Nothobranchius furzeri: one gene and its partner. The protein of the gene in region 2 interacts with the protein of the main gene of each other region in a pairwise test. Links are inferred from orthologs where the notes say so. Each region holds a gene or a part of one and is shown on either strand. Other genes may lie near its edges.

Evidence for each region. The genes of interacting proteins can lie anywhere in the genome.
Region 1: the proteins of morn3 (region 2) and rsph1 interact in binary tests that used the Homo sapiens proteins (3 or more experiments, as listed by UniProt). The two-hybrid records come from large-scale screens. The link is inferred for Nothobranchius furzeri from reciprocal best matches to the Homo sapiens genes MORN3 and RSPH1.

What each region holds. Positions count from the first base shown.
Region 1 is NC_091756.1:21,500,344-21,511,804, reverse strand, and holds the start of rsph1 (radial spoke head 1 homolog), read right to left. Parts: upstream 6,215-11,461; 5' UTR 6,076-6,214; coding exon 6,025-6,075; intron 1-6,024.
Region 2 is NC_091746.1:51,960,321-51,967,896, forward strand, and holds morn3 (MORN repeat-containing protein 3), read right to left. Parts: upstream 6,421-7,576; 5' UTR 6,291-6,420; intron 5,343-6,290; 5' UTR 5,319-5,342; coding exon 5,177-5,318; intron 5,096-5,176; coding exon 4,938-5,095; intron 4,852-4,937; coding exon 4,695-4,851; intron 4,606-4,694; coding exon 4,421-4,605; intron 3,942-4,420; coding exon 3,855-3,941; 3' UTR 3,809-3,854; downstream 1-3,808. Other genes in the region: tmem120b (transmembrane protein 120B), read left to right, coding at 6,684-6,746. UniProt on the Homo sapiens protein: Assembles a suppression complex (suppresome) by tethering SIRT1 and MDM2 to regulate composite modifications of p53/TP53.

The sequences.
Region 1 (11,461 bases), on a different chromosome or scaffold from region 2:
TACAGGAAAGAGGTTGAGCTCCTGACCACTTGGTGCAGAGACAACAACCTCCTACTAAATGTTAGTAAGACCAAGGAGATCAATGTCATCTTCCAGAAAGGCCACAACAACTACCCCCCATTGACCATCGACGGCGCTGCGGTGGAGAGAGTGAGCAGCACGAAGTTCCTGGGGGTGCACATCAGGGAGGACCTCTCCTGGACCACCAACACAGCACCACTGGCCAAGAAAGCACATCAGCGCCTTTGCTTCCTGCGCAAACTCAAGTGGGCAAGTGCTCCACCACCCATCCTGATCACATTCTACAGAGGAACTATTGAAAGCATCCTCTCCAGCTGTATCACTGTGTGGGGCGGTAGCTGCACTGACTATAATGGGAAAGCTCTACAGCGCATTGTGAGAACAGCTGAGAGGATAGTTGGTGCACCACTCCCCTCCCTGCAAGACATTTACACCACTCGCCTCACCCGCAAAGCCATCACAATTGTCAACGACGCCACCCACCCTGCGCACTGTCTGTTCAGCCTCCTGCCCTCTGGAAAGAGATACAGACAAGGATCTCCCGCACTACCAGGCTTACCAGCAGCTTTGTCTACCAGGCTGTGAGACTGCTGAACTCTCTTCCCTCACGGATCCTAGCCAGCAGAATCACCAGGGTGACAGGAGTATAGGATGACAGACTGGACCCTACACAACCCCCCCCCCCCCCACCCCCCCACCCCCATATACATGCACATTATACAAAAAGGAAATAGTGGTTGAACCAAGAACGGGGTAAACATTTCTGATTGTAAACAACTACCTCTGCATTGCAGTTGCACACACCTGCTGCTATATGTTTTTGTATATTTTTAGCGATATTTACCTGTTTAATATTATCTTTTTGTTAGGGATGTTTTTGTTATTGTTGTGCATCTGCACTTTATGTTGTCAATGTCTATGCATGGGACAGTGTGAAATGTAATTTCAATTCCTTTGTATGGCAAGCACATTCGAAGAAATTGACAAATAAAGTATTCTATCCTATTTTATTCTATAAATGTGAATACATAAAGTCTGGCGATGACCCACTGACTGCTCTCAGTCGTGTGGTGATTGTACAGTTGCCTTTCAAACTGTCTAAGCATGCTATTGAACAACAAACAACATGATGTATTAACCGCCACGCATGTCAGTCAACGAGGCAGTCCGCCATACACTGCCAAAAGAGACGCGAGAAGACGGTGCTGGAGTTTTTTCAAGAAAATATTACTGTACATTTTGACAAATGGTTGTAGCTTTAAATGGTTGGAGATAAAGGTAAATTGTAAATGAGAAAAATCTTCAGCAGTAGTAGTTTGTGTTGGGGGCAAAATCAGTCATTTAATTAGCTTATTGTGACATCAGGCTGCCACATTGGAATCATTTTTTACAGACATTCCTTCTTATTCAGAAATTTACATTTTAGTTTTATATTTTTATTTATGTATACATACATAAAGTTATTATTTTATTGAATTGTACATTGTTTATGTAAATATTTTTTTATATATTTTTTGGCCTGACTCAAAAGAAATGCTTCATACCCATATTCCTCAGGGTTTTTGGGCTTATTCCCCTTCAGGGTTACCTCCCCTTGTATGTCAAGATTATTTGATCCAAGGAAAATTCCTCATGTAGACCAGATGGCTGGAATTTGTGGAATATTCATATCAACTGTGACTTTCACGCTCACATCTACCGTGTCTGCCCCTAAATACGGCTTTTAAAAGTTTTTTTTTACATTCCCACTACGTCAGTCACCATTAGTCCATGAAGCAGTATCTGGGGTTGAAGTACCGGAAACCCTCTCGGTTCAAACACTCCCCCTCTGCTAAAGATTCAGTGAGTACTAAAAGGAGCCCACGTTCAGCACGTTGGTGAACACCGCCCTCGCCCTTACCATTATTCACCGCGCCGTGACCATGCCGACCACAGCACTACTGCTCCAAGGTCAAGAGATGAGTCCGGTAACAGGCCTCCTGACGTTCTGAGCTGCATCCTGGAGTCTGTCTTTTCTGATTGGGTAAGCACCTCACCAAAGGCTAAAGTTCTGCTCATCTCTTCTGCAGACCAGAACATGACTCAGTCAAAGCGATGAGTCCTCCAAAAGTGGAACCGGCCCCAATGGTGCATCCTGTGACACCTGTGACCCCAGTGGGGTCCAGTGAGGTTGCGTCCATCAGCACCAGTCCTCGAACATCCAATGCACCTGTCAGTGGGTGAAGTAAACCTTTCCCGCTGGACAAACCTCAACTAAGACTTCTCTGAGATGTCATCTGTAAAGGTCCCAAACAGAAACCTTCCCTGTGACCCTTGAGGGGTCGCTAACCTGTGATGCTATCTTAGACACTGACTCAGACATTTCCATCATGTCCCATTCTCTTTGGGATAGGGCTGGGCAATAAATCAAAACATTTATCATCATCAAAATTCCTGACTCTTATCGGGAAAAATGTTCCCATGTCAATAAATTTGATAATAAAAAAATGAAAAGATGTGTGTAGGTTGGCAACATTCGTGTCAAAGCTGCACCACCTTGAGTCATGTAAAAATGTGACTCAACGTAATACATGTGACAGCCCCGTCTAATGGACAACTTTTGTTTCTGCGCATACCTGTAGTTATCGTTCATTTATCGTTATCGAGGTGAAATCCTCAACATATCATGATACTGATTTTAGGCCATATCGGCCAGCCCTACTTTGGGAATGCCTCCGCTTGGCTGCAGCTGGACAGGGTCGTGTCGTAACACTCACATCCTGTGCCGTGGATGTCAGTCCTTATGCTCCGGCTCCAGTGACCTTGTCGTCTGTGGCTTTCTTTGACCTTTCGGTCCATGCAACACCCAGTGTTCATGTCTGACCTAGAGTCTTTAACTTTACTGTTTGGCGAATACCTGCTCAATTGCTCTAAGCTCATTGTTGACATCTGTGGGTGGAAGCTCTGGACCCAGTTGACTCAACCGTTGACCATGGAGCTCCCCCAGGACCTTATTTCTACCGTAGGTGTTGTTAACAACAACAGCGCCAGTGACCGCCCTAGTGTCTGCGTCGTCTCTGCACCTGAAAACCTTCACCCTGAGATGGGTCCACCACCTACCAAAGGGGGAGGGGGTTGACCGAGGGCCCTCCAGAGCGCACCCCTGCATCGAGGCCTCAAAAGGCCGCTCCGCCTTATCATTAAAAGTTAACGCTATACTTTCTAATGACGAGGTTAAACACAAACATTTTTTTCTGCAGTTTAGCTCTAAAACTTCACTATAAGTCCGGTCCCTCAGTGTTTCTCTTGCTGTGTTTGACCTCTCCCCCTCTCTCTCCTGTTGCTAATTGAAACCTGCACCTTTGACCACCGGTGTTATGTCAGTATTCCGGTCAGTTCTGTAGTTGAAATGCGCTTCCTCACCACTTTGCACCAGTTTGCAACAGCTAATTACACCACCCAACACCTAATTGCAAGCTCGCTCCCGCGGTACAGTCCGGTTTTTGTTTAATATGAGCCACAGATCTAAGTTGTGCTTATTTATGAAAACTTTGTAGAATATAGTCGCACTAACGAGCGCCAACAGAGCAAAGCTCTGGTGTCACAATAACATGATGAGCAGCTCCTCTCTAACGGGGACGGCAGGCGGAACCAGGCCCCGACTGGGAAAATTGCCCCGTTTGAGTTCGGTGTTTTTTGGGTTTTTTTTTTTGGGCTAGTGTTACTCTGTTGATCACCTGTTTCTCCTGTCAGTGGAACAGGTGAGCTGCTGCCAACAAGCACTGTCGGCGCCAAAAAGGTCAAGAGGTCATCTACAAAATGTATTGAGCTGAAACTGCGTTCTTAGGGTGAAAAGCTTATTGAGCAAGAGTTCGTGTGCATCTCAACAATCAGCTCCAAAGGAATTTCCTGTTTTGGTCTGCTCTGCCTCTAGTAAAAGCCAGGTGCTTATCGTACTTGCTAACAGTGAACTTGATGTGACTCCAAACTAGGCTAGGCTGAGAACTCCGTCTCCGACTCCTTCTTTAAGAATAACAGAAAATGCCCACAGCACGTTCTATGCCCAGACTGTAGTGACCTGTCATTTATAATTATATAATTAATATTAAATGAATGCACTAACCCCAAAGATGATAGAAAATAAGATTAAATAAGCCTGAATATTTTCTCCCACAGCTCAGCTCTGATATAAAAAGCAGATGTCTGCTTAAACTGGACAATATCAAATATAAAAGTGGTCACAGATAGCTAAATTTTAATGAAAAAAATAACATTAATAATTTTTAATTAAAATATTTATTTTATTTCATTTCTAAGGTTTGGATGTCTGTGAACAATACAGAATACTCTGTTTAGTGTAAAGAATATTATTATTAGCAGGTCTAGATCTAAATCGGGTCGGTCTGAGGTATAAAACTCTGTCACGTTTAGGAGAGGAGCTTGGACCCAGGATGCAGAAGTACCCAGAACTACTCAAAGGCAGGAGAGGTTTTAAGAAAAAAACCAAACAATTCCTTTATTTAAGGAGGATGTGCTGTAAAGTCCAAAGCACAAAATAAGACTAACATGCAAAAACTTGAAAACTCTAAATTAAAAAAGCTCACACATGAGCATGGACTCGGAGACTCGAGAGGGGAACGAACAACGCAACACATACGACAATGACCCAACAAACACTGAAGGACAAGACCGGCTTTTAACACAGAGGGAAGCAATCAGGGGAACAGGTGTATTCAACCTTAACTAAATGTGAAGGAAAAATCAAGCAGAGGGGAAGATAAAATAACCTAAAAAACTCTAAATAACTAGAAACTAAGGGCAAAGATAAACAACTAATGACAAGAGGAGTAAGGGAGACTGATTAACAAGTGGGGAAGGACACAAACACTAAAGGGAAGTAATTAAATGAAAAGCTGAACCTATAGAAAATAAAACTACAGAGGGGTGACTAGGGGAGACCTGAGAAGCTGGGAAACAGGAGACACATGAGGAGAACGCAGAGGACAAACAGGATCATTAATACACATCATACACATATGAACAATCGCTGACTTTTCCATGAAATCATAAACACATACAGCCACACAGAAAACCATCTATAGTGTTGCAAGGCTAGCTAACTTTAGCGTTAGCGTTTCCAGCGGCAAAACCCTGGACTGCTGCGGCGGTTGAGGGTTGACTCTCTTCATCCAGATCCGTAGGTTTTTGTGGGTCGGAGATCACTTCCAAAGATTCATTCGTTTCTGACAGAATCCGTGGATTGAACGCATGATTTTGTGTCAACAGAGTTTACAGTGTTTACAGACCTATTGAAATGAGAAAACTTAAAAAATTTACAAAAAATCAGAGAAGTATTTTTTGCTCAAAGTAAAGTTTGTAGTACATAGAGCAGCTAAGTATTGACCTGCATGCATAATTTTGTGTCAACAGAGTTTACAGTATAGGAGTTTTTTTTAATTTAATATCACCAAAAGCAGAGGGGAGGGAGTAAAGAAAAGTGTAGTATTTTCTCTAAAAACATAAAATGTGTAATATGAGCATCCAAGTTGTGATTTTCTGTGTGAATTTGGTGTCACTATAGTTTCAAATGGAGGAGCTTTTGCAATTTATATTATTAAAAGTTTCACACTAAATCTAAACTGTATACCTGGATTAAACTAAATAGTGTAGTGTGATCAGCGTGTGTGCAGTGTTGTATTTTGTGAATTTGGTCACACTGCAGTGTGTAACTGTGCACTTTTCCCACATAGTTTATCATCAAACGTTTCTGGTGTGATTATTTGCTGACGGTCCCTGAGCGCTCGTTTTGCTCTGTCGGCCTCATTGAGATCAATTAACGCGTCGGGAGCAGAGCACGACAGAGAACGGATTTTTTTTTAAAGAAACGAAGTTGTAGCTTGCTCACTACCTTGCCACGATACCAAAGAGGTATGTTATGTTTCTAAATACCCCTGTGTTCAGGAGGTATTGAGCCGCAAAAGTCGAATCTGTGAATATCTTGCTAACTTTACTGAAGTCTCTCACCCTGCCGTCAGGACTTCCTTCGTCGAGCTCATCGGATCCTACGTCCGACATTGTCCGAGACAAGCTGGCTTTACTCCAGAAGAAGAACGCAGAAGAAACTGCTGGATAAACACTGCCTGTTGTTGCCGCTCATTTGGAGTTGTCGTGGCAACCAACCGTACCACGTGATCAAGGTAAGATGAGCAACGAGAGCGCATTACTGTAGAGTCATTCTACCTGGAAAACAATGAGGTCCACCTGGTCTGTCAATAAACATCATCTCTCTCTCTCTCTCTCTCTCTCTCTCTCTCTCTCTCTCTCTCTCTCTCTCTCTCTCTCTCTCTCTCTCCCTCTCTCTGTGTGTGTGTGTGTGTCTTAATTTATCTCAGATCCTCAACCACATCTCACATCTTCGTTCTTATGAAATTATTACAACCTTGAATATTATCTCTATTTTTCGTTACATGTTGTTTACAAAATTCTAAATTACATTTTTGTATAACAGGGAAGTGAGAGGTGAGGATTTGGGGTCATGAGGGTCCTCACTGCTCTACAAACTATGACTTCTCCATCTTATTTTATTTGTTGTTGTTGTTGTTTTACTGTTTAAAGGAATGACCAGAGGTGGAAAGAGTACTAAAATTTCCTACTTAAGTATGAGTACCAGTACTTTGATAATTTTTTACTCAAGTACAAGTAAAAGTACTTGCCTAAATTTTTACTCAAGTAAAAGTAAAAAGTATCGTAAATAAAATGTACTCAAAGTAAAAGTTACTTAGTTACATTTTTGTCAGTGTAAAGATGGTTACATCAGTGCAAAACCACACCACCAGTTCACAACATGCTCGTGTGTGCACGCACACACACGGACACACACACAGTTTGATGGAAGGATTTCTATCCAATCAGTGAGAACAGGACATGCACATTGATTGGATGAGGTTTTTCTAGGATTGTACGTTTCAATTGTGATTTAAATTATTCTTTATATTGAAAAAAAATGTTAATTTTTAGATGCCATCAGTATGTGAGGTATCTCAATGTTCTCATGACAACACTAACATGAGACTGTGCTCTAACCTGTCACATAACAAGCCTAATGCAGTCAAACATTTCAGATGGACCGTATGACAGCTGCTAACGTTGGCCCTGCCCTACTTTACCTCTACACTACAGTTCCTTTATCCATGTCCATCCTAGAGCTCCTCTCTGACCTATTTAGAGCAGCTGATTTTTAAAGTTAGCAGAGTTCATCCTTGGTAGTGGGTTCACTCACTCATTTAAAGATATCGGCTAGAGGCAAAATTCGTTTGAACAGCATGTGTAAATGTGTATTAAAACCTCAGATGAAAAGGTTTTTGGATTTTGACGGCTGGAATTGTAAGAAAATCTGATGTTTGTGACCGGCGCGGGAAAAACAGAAACTAACATCCGGTCTAAGCCCTGGGCAGCTGGTGACGTTTCACATGGAGCTCTGCTGAAACAGCTGTAGTAAACAACGCCTGTCTCCGGTGTTTCTGCATTAGCGTTATAGCAGAGAACAATGTGTCATCAATCAGATGTAGCTTCTGAAGCCTCTGCTAGTCGGTCAGATTTGTTTTTTCTCTGGGATACGGCGACGAGAACGGATATTGGATTACCGGAGACGTTCAACCGAACCCCGACCCCGCCAGCTGGATATCACTACCAGAGGTCAGAGGCAGTTTTACCATTAGGCATAGGTCGGCGGCCGCCTGGGGCCCCCTTGTGTTGGGGGGCCCCCTAGCCCTGACCGCCGGCACCCCTCTGTTAATGCCACAATATTCTTATTACCAACCTGTGGCCGCAGACGGGATTGGACATGCACACTTCTCATTACCATAATTCCTGAACAATTCAAGATATCATTAAAATTCCAAAAGTGCTGAAAAGATTAAAAATGGGGCTTTTCGTGCATATACAATACATTACGGTAGCCACCGGCATTCCCTGTCTTGAGCGCAACGAATCACAACACAGATTCAGAGACGTGCTGAGTTTGTCATCCAAAATGCTCCGTTTTATAACTTTTGAGTGGATGATCAGATTCAGAACATTCCAACGGTTCCTAAACGTACATAAAAGCAGCTTTCCAACGACCTATAGCATGAATCAATCAGAGTTACGGAAAATATTGCTACGAGGGGAAATCCTGCTGTACAGCCTGATTGAAAAGGAGCGCAGTGCCGCGGTGAAAGCGGATAACGGAACGGGGAAGCTAATTAGCATAAAACCAGCATGAAATTATGGAAATGCCCCAAAGAAAATCAACACGATCTATTAGGTGTCCCAGAAGGCTTATATCTGAAGACAGTGACCACGAAGGACAGATCTCCAGTGAACCAGGGTATGAATGTTTGTTCCGTCTTTATTTTTTATTTTTTTATTGGAACAACCCTCAACTATTTGCTAATTGTAAGATTCAGCTTCATTCCAGCATTATTTATCATTTTACAATAAATAATTATTTTTACTAAAACAAGTTTTTGGTATAGCAATGCACGGTGTGCAAGAGAAGCACTCTATGGCAGTGTGAGGTGTGCAGGACTCGGCCTGCAGCTGGAGAGAAACTGCTTCAAGGTCTACCACATCAAATAAAAATGTCTGAAAGTTTACAAAAATAAATGGTCTTAAAAACTGCTAATAAAAGATACCAAGGTTCACACTTTTTAAGAATAGATGCATTTCAGTCCAAAGTTTAAATTGTTCACCCAGTAATTTTGAAGTTCCTGTTCAGTAATAAATGTAAAAAATTCAAATCCGTTTTTTGCTTTTTTCACTTTTAAGCTGATTTTTGAAAGGCTGTAATAGAAATAAATTCTAAATACAAACCATACACTGAAAGCTGAGGTTGTTCTGAAAAAATAAGAGTTACACACACTTTGCACTTTTTATTACTATTTTACAGCCATAAGATTAAAAAAAATACCAGGCGGCCCTGTTATAATTATGGTCATAACAGGGTTATTAAGACGGTGATGCACAAACAGGAAGTGATTGGTAGTCATTCCACTCCAATCCAGTTGGTGGCGGTAATGCACCAAATGGTTGTTTGCCAAGTGCCATAAGACCACAAATAGTAAGAAGAAGAGAGGCAGGGGCGTTCGTAACAAACTCAAAGCGATAGTCAAAACATGAAGCATGAAATGGCGTTATCCTAGTGGCTCCAATAAGAGAAAGAAGCAGCTTGCTTCATAAAAGCTTTTATTTTCACTTCTGAAATTGACATCGTTTTTCGATGTAAACATCAAAAGGAAGCAGAAAGGAAAGACAATGGAAAAGGGAGGAAAACATAGACCAAAATGGAAAATAGAAAAAAATACCAAAGGCAAAAGCACAGGAGCACTGACAGGAAGAAGAAAGAAGAGCAAATATTGAAAGCGCTCAAAGAGAGGGAAATACAGGAAAAGGGAAATAACTCATGTCAGAAGAGGGGAGAGTTTCACAAATCTAGTTAAAGGTAAGATTGTCGAAAATTTAGTGTAAGGGGCCCCATGTCTGTGTTTGCTTTGGCACCCCAAATTGCTAAATCCGCCTCTGCCAGAGGTGCAGACATGTTTTAGACCGTTTGACTCAGAAGACCTGCGACCCGATTTGGACATAGAGGAGGATTCTGTTCATCTTCAGAAACAAAATTGGTACAGTTTGTTTACCTTTCTTAAATATTTATTTTCTGTGCTCCACTGGGAGCTCTAAGCTGACGAGTTCTCAGCTGGTCTTAGCTCCATCATGTGTCCCAATCAAGCCCCCACAATGCGAGTAAGGTCTAGCTGCGGACGCAGCCCCGGCCAAACACGCCCCGGCCAAACACGCCCCTATGTACAAAATTTGTACGCGTGCATGTACGAAGACGAGAACTCGCATGCGTGTTGCAAGAGATGGAAATGACGGTTCAGGTAAAGTCAGATTTATATTTTTACAACTTGCGAAGATTTTGTACTAGAAATTTGAACGTTTAAGACATAGTTTGATAGATAGCACATTCGTATTTTTTTTCTGAAACACTTTTATATAAAATTAAGCATTATTGGCAGTGGGGGAAGATGTCATGGATGCAAATTTTTTTAATATAATTTTTAATGGGCTACTTGCAAGCCTTTTGGCCAAAATAAACGTAACAATAGGCTATTTATTTGACCGTTTATGACTCCTCATCTAATAAGCAGCAAACTCACGACGGCAATGTGGTAGCCCGGAGGTATGCTACAAACACAAGAACAGTGCTAATGCCTATATGTATTGTTTTCACGTTGTTTATGACAGCCTCTAGGTGTAAATGTCATTTTTACTAATTGCTATTTATCTTTGTCTCATTAGTGAGAGGCAGCTGATGTCCTATGCCATGGAGCTGCTCATATACACGGAGAAATTCAGAAAAGCTCTGGACTCATCTCATTGTGTGGACATTTTTTATATTTATTTTTCTTATTAATGAGCATCCGAAACCATGAAATTTAAATGTAATAGGGTAAACCCAGTGCATTTAACATAATGCTGCACTTTAGAAAATGGGTTGAAATATAACATGTTGGTGGAGCTGGGTTCCGACTATCGGCTCATGGAGCTCTCAGGAGACCGATGTTTTCCACCTGTTTCTCCCCTCCCCGCAGCTTGGTGCATCTCTGTCTGATCGCGGCTTCTGTCTGCTGCGCGGGTAAAACTCCGACGTCGGTTGAGTAGTTTTAAGTGGTGTTTTTTACACTTTGGTGTTAAAAAACTTTCCGGTGATGTCATCCAGGCTTCCCCCCAGTGCTTTATAAGCCTGGCGGACCACCAGGCCTTGCTTGGCCTCCCGTGCATACCCCGCCCCCTTCTCATAGTCTGCCAGGCTCAGCTAGTTTTCTGGGGGAAACCCCTCCTACTATTACCTTTGTACTCTCTTTAAGAGAAAGGACTTGTCTTCTCAAACCCCCCAGTGAGTCGTGACAGACGGCTGTTAAAGGGGAGTTTTCCCCTCCACCGTCACCACATGCTTGCTTAGTATGAGGATTGCTGTAAAGCCTCTGACACTAGTCAGTGACTCGATGCAATCCACTGGGTTCCTTATTTAGGAAACTTTTAACTGATTGGAAAAATGAACTGAACTTAATGCACTGCTTAATAAGTTCAATCGGAAAGTTAGCTTTGTAAAATGCCTTGCGGTGAATTGAAATGTGAATTGGTGCTGTTTAAATAAACTGAACTGAAATGAATTGGAATCTTTTAGTGCGGAGTTTTTATGTTGTGTTTTTCTCCAGGAGCTCCGGTCCCCCCCCCCCCCCCCCCCCCTCCCCGGAAAAATGTAAAAACAAAAAGCAAAATAAAAGCAATAAAACAACACTTGTGACCTGCACTTGGACAAGTCTATTCATATGACATATTTTTTATTTGTATTTGACAAATTTCTATACAGAACTGCTTCCTGAATTTTAATCTCAGATCATAACAGAATTGCTTGTGG
Region 2 (7,576 bases):
GAGCTACCTGAACATTTCGAGGAGGTTTTGCTCAGACAGAGTTGCAGTAGTCTAAAGAGGAGAAAATGAAGGTGTGAATAACAATGTCAAGTTCAGAGCATGACAGAATGGGACTCACTTTAGCAATGTTCCAGAGATGAAAGAAGGAAGAGCGAACAAAAGAACTCCATCCATCCATTTTTGGTCGCTTATCCAGGGTTGGGTCGCAAGGGCAGTAGCCTAAAGCTGAGCGGACACTGTGACTTTTTCACTCGTAGCGTTCAGCTTCAGCTCAAACTGTACGACTTCCTAGCAGAGCAAATCTCACGAGTCATGTTCTCACACCGTATGACCCATTTCTCGGATGCGACCTGACTGCTCACACTATGTCGAGTAGCAGCACGTTGGACCTAATAATATGATAAAAAACAGCAGTTTTTACACAACACGCCTGACTTTTTTTGTGTTGTTACTGATGTCTGTTGTCCTTTAGGATGAGAATGCTGTTGGAGGACACACAGGGATTTATGGGGGATGGAGGAGGAAAACGAAAGAAAGTAAATCAGTGTTTTGTGATCAGTTTAATTTGACATAAACACGGCAAACATGCTTTCTTGATAATCCTTGTCATTGTGTGCGTAAAAAAGTGCACAAATGAAAATAAACGACGCATGTTAGCAGGGAAATAGCTGGCGAGCCGTGTTGACACATGCTTGCACATTCGCTGTGAGCAGTTCTGGTACTTTTTGGATTCGACCCGCTTGCAGCGCTGCTTCAACCCTCTCGAGGGACGAGCAAAATATCAAACATGCAAGAAGCTCATGATTGCTGATTGGTAGCTGGTCACGTGGTGTTAATCGCCTCTCGTTACCCCCTGTATACTACACGATGCTCAGCGTAATATTTGCCTCGATCTTGTGGATTCTTACACGAGTGGAAAAAAAAGGTGAAAAAGTCGCACAGTGTCTGCCCAGCTTAAGCAGGGATGCCCAGACTTCCGTCTCCCCAGCCACTTGGGCTAGCTCCTCCGGGGGAATCCCAAGGCATTCCCTGGCCAGTCGACAGACATAGTCCTTCCAGCCTATTTTGGGTCTTCCTTTGGGTTTTCTCCCGGATGGACATGCCAGGAAAACCTAACTATGGAGGCATCCAGAAGGCATCCTAACTAGATGTCCGAGCCACCTCAACTGGCTTCTCTCGATGTGGAGGAGCAGCGGGTCTACTCTGAGCCCCTCTTGGATGACCAAGCTCCTCACCCTATCTGTAAGGGAGAGCCCGGCCACCCTGCAGAGGAAACTCATTTTGGCCGCTCGTATCCACAATCTTTCTTTCGGTCACCAAAGCTTGTGACCATAGGTGAGGGTTGGAACGTAGATCAACTGGTAAATCGAGAGCTTTGCCTTCTGGCTCAGCTCTAATTTCACCCTGACAGATCGTTACAACGCTCACATCACTGCAGACGCAGCACCAATCCGCCTGTCGATCTTGTCCTCCATCTTTCCCCCACTCGTGGAAAAGACCCAGAGATGCTTAAACTCCTCCACTTGAACAAAATAATTGACATGGGTGATCCAGGGTGAGTGCTGGGTCAAAGGTCACACCGAGATTCTTGACAGGGGGTTTGGTATTAAGCCGGGCATACGCTGTGCGACTTTTTCACTTTTTTGACCCGATTTTCCACTCGTGCAAGAATCCACAAGATCGGGGCGAGTTTTGCGCTGAGCGTCGTGTAGTGCACAGGGGGTTACGAGAGGCGATTAACACCACGTGACCAGCTACCCATCAGCAATCGTGAGCTCGCACGGACTTCTGGCATGTTTGATATTTTGCTCGTCCCTCGTGAGGGTATCGCACTGTTGAAGTGATGCTGCGAGCAGCTGCGACCCAAAAAGTATCAGAACCACTCACGGCGCATGCTCAATCATGCATCAACGCCGCTCGCCCACTATTTCCCTAATAGCACACATTGTTCGTTTTTATTTCTACACTTTTTTTTACTCACAGAGATTGTCAAGAAAGCGTGTTTGTCGTATTCATGTCAAATTAAACTGATCACAAAACACAGATTTACTTTCTTTATTTTGTTTTCCTCATCCAACCCCCATAAATCCCTGTGTCCTCCTGCAGCACTCCCAAAGGACAACAGGCAAGACAAAAAAAGTCTGACGTGTTGTGTAAAAACTGCTATTTTTAGCATATTTTTTGGTCCGACTTGTTGCTACCAGACGTACAGTGTGAGCAGTCAGGTCGCATCCGAGAACTGGGTCGTACAGTGTGAGCACATGGCTCATGAGATCTGCCCTGCGATGAAGTCGTACAGTTTGAGCTGAAGCTGAGTGCTACGAGTGAAAAAAGTTGCACAGTGTCTGCCCAGCTTTAGAAGCAAGCTGACCAATGGCCGTTACACACTAGCATCAGCTCTACTCTGCCTGGCCAGGTTGGGGGAGTTCTCATTTATGTAGCCTTGGATTATTCTGTGCGTAACCGTACGTATTTTCAACCCTCTTCTCAAGGAGGTTTGCCTGGAGCCAAACTGGTCCAACACACCCATTGCTGACTGAAGCATGCATACCATTAGGGGTAGCCTCCGACTGGCAGACATAATCAGCCCACGGGGGCTTCCTGCATGCGTGATTCATTATCATTCTGGATGCTGTGGAGTTAACGAGCCTCTGACTGAAGCCATTTTTCTCTGCTCTCTGCTGTGAGGCATGCGCACACACAATGCTGCCAGACACATCAAAGCAGGATGTAATATCAGAGTCAGAGAGTCTCCAAAAGCAAGACTGCTCAGGCTACTTTGTTTAATAATGGAGACACCGCAGACTTCTCGATCATATTCCCCGCCCACGTGCGCTTGCAACATCACAGACCACATACCGCCCACATGCTCAATTACGTCCATATTGCTAAGGCAGTGTGGAACAAACGTGGCTGGGCTGGGGTAGGTGGCACGGAGTGGAGGCCATGCTAGTGTGTAAGTGGCACAAGAGAGGCTCTGACTTTGGGAATCAGGTTGGGAACCAGATGAGGATCTCAGCCTTGTCATCATTCAGCAGTAGAACATTCCTAGCCATCCAGTTTTTAAAAGAGTCTAAGCAAGTGTGTAATAGTTGCAGCTTAGGCATCTCTTGGAGATTGAAGGAGATGTCCAGTTGGGTGTCATCTGCATAAAGAGGGAAGATTCCTTTAAAATAGCTCAGGATTTGCTAGAGAGGAAGCAGATAAAGGAGGAATAGTAGTGGTCCCAGCACAGAGCCTTGTGGGACACCATGGGTGAGAGAGGTGGAGGAGGGCAAACATAGAAACGGTCATGATAAGGAACGCTCAGATAGATAAGAGAAAAAACCCTCCAGAGCAGTTGGCCTACCCAGTCTCTCAGCCTATCCAGTAGCAGGTAATAATCAACAGTCAGGTCCAGCAGAACCAGAACAGAACAGTCCCCTGCATCACTGTGACTCTGAAGGTCATTAGAGAGTCTAAGAGGAGCTGTTTCAGTAGAATGACATCTCATAGGGTTTAAAGGAGATGTACTGTTGAATGTCATCAGCATAAATATGTTGGAGATTCTTTAAAAAGTATGATTATTATTTATTTGATCAATTCAGCAAAACAGCCTTTTCAGTAGATTGCATTCAATCACAAGCCAAGTTTCATGATCTTGTATTTGGGTTGCATCAGGTTAGCTTTACATGTTAATCTAGTTCACGTTACTAATGAGGTAATTTCAAATATTAACAGTAGTAACAGATAGAATAAACATGTTAATTTCTACTTTTCAAATTAGCAGATTACAGGGTTACAGAAAAGAAGTATGCTGAATGCATCGTTAATTTTTTTGGCATTTATTTATTTTTGATGAAGCACAAACTTGTTTATCCTCTTGATGATTGTTGACAGCAGTGATCCAGGCAGGCTGATTTGGCTTCCCTTAAAACCGATTCCACGTCCTTCAAGTGTAGCTTGAAAGGGAGGAAAGAAATTAGTGTTTGAAAAATTAGGGTGGCATTTGAAAAGGGATAGTTTTTCATCCATCCTTTATGTGAACTGCTTATTCCTTATTAGGGTTGCAGGGAGCTGGTGCCTAACTCAAGTAATAACCCGTTGGAAGGCAGGGGCCACCCTGGACTGTCCACAACTCCATCACAGGGACACGCAGGGACAAATGAGACAGGCAACCAGTCACACACTCACTTACAACAAAGAGGCCATTTCAAGTTTTCAGTTGAGCTAATGTGCATGTTTTTGATCTGTGGTGGGAAACCTACACATGCATGTGCAGAACACGCTAAGTGTGCACAGAAAGACCTCAGCTTGGATTGGAACCTGTGAGCTTCTTCTGCAAGGCTACAGTGCTACCGACCGCGCCGCCATGCAGTCTGTTTGCCTTTTGATGTTACAAAATAGGTGCAGAAATTAAGGGAATTCTTTGGTCTCGTACCTTTGGAAATGGATACTTCGGTGGTGCTGGGGCTTTGTCCCTTCTAAAGTCCATCATGGTGCCACATTTTGCTTCTCCATCAACCCAAAAGCCTTCATAAAGCAGACCTTTTTCAGAATAGTACAACTTCCCGTCGCCGTTCATCTTGCCATCTTCCCAGGTGCCTTCGTACAGTTTTCCATTAGCTTCAACAGAAGATGGAAATGTTTTCATTGGGGGAGTGCAAATAACTGCTCATTTTTTATCAAAGGTATGTATAGCAACATTCTCTTACAGAATAAGTGTCCTTGCCCATGACTTTTATCCATCTGCCACTCTCCCACATAGATGTCGCCATTCTCATAGTGCATCGTTCCCTTACCACTACGTTGGTCCTCACTCCACTCTCCATCATAGACTGCCGAGTTGTTGTAAAAATACACCCCATAACCCTGAAAAGACATAGAGCGAAAGTATACTAAACAGAGCGTGTGTTCATGTTAGATTTGTGTGTTGTAACAGACTGTGAGACATTTACATGCTTCTTCCCATTTTTCCATTCACCAGCGTACTTCCTCACATACTCCTTTGATTTTAGGAGTAACACGCTATAGGTTCCGTATCCATTACGTTTTCCAAATTTCCATTCCCCATCATAGATGGCACCAGCTTGTTTCCACACCTGAATTCCCTTGCCTTGAAAAACAACACAGGACAATATAAAAGTTTTCAATTTACATGATGGTTTTTCAACAAATAAAGAAAGAAAAATCCAACCATGCTTCTTGTTGTTGAGCCACTCTCCATTGTATTGATTTCCGTTGACTGAGAAAACTGTGTGTCGAAGTACACATTTCTGTGATTTCATCTCTTTCAGTCTTGAGACTGAAGTTTTCTTAGTTAGTTTGTAATTTGGCATCACTTGGGGAGGTGTGGTGACGTTCTGTGTAAGAAAATAAATCATGAAAAGATATTAGTTGATTTTCAGTCATTAAACAAATAATAAATCTCATTACAGCAAGTATAACAAAAGCATGGCCCGGGGGCCATTTGAGGCCACGAGAATGATTTTGTGTGGCCCAAATTTCATTTCTTGAACTGTAGGATTTGTTTCTCCAGCATGCTGAAGATGTCATGTTCATTTTTACTAATATGTTTGAAGCGTAGAGCTGCAACCCTCGCAAAATAAAATTAGAGTGATATCACGTTAAGACATCATAATTTTATTGATCCAACAATCTAACGTTCATGTTTGTACAATACACTATCATGTTCTTACCATAGCATGTTCAAGTCTGTGCATATTTACCACGTTTGGAGAATATAATGTCACATTCTTACAATATACAGTACATATTATATTGTATGAATGGGACATTTATATTGCACAAACATGATAACATGTTGTAAGAATGTGAAAATTATACTGTCAAAACAGTAAAGTTAATGTTAGAACGTGACAACCTTCCAGTTTGTTTTGCGAGTGTTTGTGGCATCTCTAAAAGTTGCCACAAATACAGCCCATTTTGAGCAGTATTTTATGTATTGTTTTTTTTTTTACTTTTTCTTTTAAATAAATCACATTTTTGCTGCATGCAAGGATTTTTAACTTGAGGATTTTATTTTGGTTTTGAAAAGTTTGGACACATAGCCTTTGCCTAAACAAAAGTATTTTTACTGAAACTAGAAAATGAGCTGTACGTACATACGTGTGTAAACATCTATTTTTAACAGATCTTTAACGGCTTGTTGACAGAAAATACACTCAAAAACGAATTTTTAGCTTGAAAAGAAGGATGCCTTAGAGATGCGTCCACGCAGATGACCCACTTAAATAGTCTGCACATAAACTAACGCCATTGGGCTACCGAAGAATGAAGACTTGTCTAACCTTTCCTCTTGATCCATATATGCCGATTGATCTAAAGCTGAGAAAACAGTTTTGTTGTATCCTAGCAACAGTAACGCCTGCTGTGATTGGTGTGGCTTTAATCAAAACTTTGTAAACATTGAATCAGTAAAAGAAATGAAACTGAAGAAACGGTGCTGCCGATGCCTGAGAAAATTTTTGTTTTTGTTTATTATTTGCGCGTTTGTTTACTTTATGCGGGTTCACCATCAGATCATAAACGTTTAGCTGACTGGTGGAAGTGCGCATGCGCCAAGCAGTACAATTAAAACGCCTCTGAGTGGGACGGACGGAGCGCGAGCCCGCTTGGGGAAGAGTCGAGGAGCGAGGAACCTTGTGAAGCGTCCTCTTCGTAACTCCCTCTAGTGAACCACAATGTCCAGGCAACATTTCCAGGCAGAATGGAATGACATTGACAAGGAATATCAACAATTACAGGTGACAGGAAGCCTTTAATGAGTGTTTGGTGGGTGTTTCTTCAGGCAGCAGCGTATGGTGGATGACACTGACAGATGCAGTAGCGGCTTCTAGTAGTTTGGCTGTTTCTTCACCATTCGTATTCGGCTGTTTGTTTGAAACGCAGCGTTGACCCAACACCTACTGTTAGTTCAAATGCCTGCGCTATAAACCGTGTTTTGGTGTGTTTTTATCATCTTTGAGTAGACTACCATGATTGTGTTGTTGTAGCTAATGTTAGCAGCAGACGTCTCGTCCTTTTTGTGGTTTCCACCGAGAAGCAGCTACAGTAGAGCAAGAACTCAGTGACATGGTGCTGTGGGTTGCACAATTGCTATCGAGGTTATGTGAAGGTCCTAGGGTGGTCTTGTCTCAATTCCTTTGCATCAATAAACTACTTAGTAGCCACCAAAGTCATCCTCTATCTTTAGTAAAGAGGCTAGCTCACCTTTTAGCTGTAGTTGACCATCTGGAAACAACTTGGAGCAACAACTACGTTAAAGTCTGTGGATGGCTTAGATGTTTAATATTATATATATATATTATATATATATATATATATATATATATATATATATATAAAATCCTTAAGATGTGATGACAAAACGGAAGTTTTCATAATGTCTTCTGCTAAATCTGTTGATTTCCTGGCCACTGTCAGTTCTGAGATATGTAGGTTTGAAAAATACAATCAGTGGCTCAAAAGTACATCAAGATGAGGAAAAAACACAACGACATCAAGTTGACGTTAAAAGTACAGAGAAAAAGAGGACGATCGTGTGAGTAATACTGAAGGGAAAAAAGCACAACTG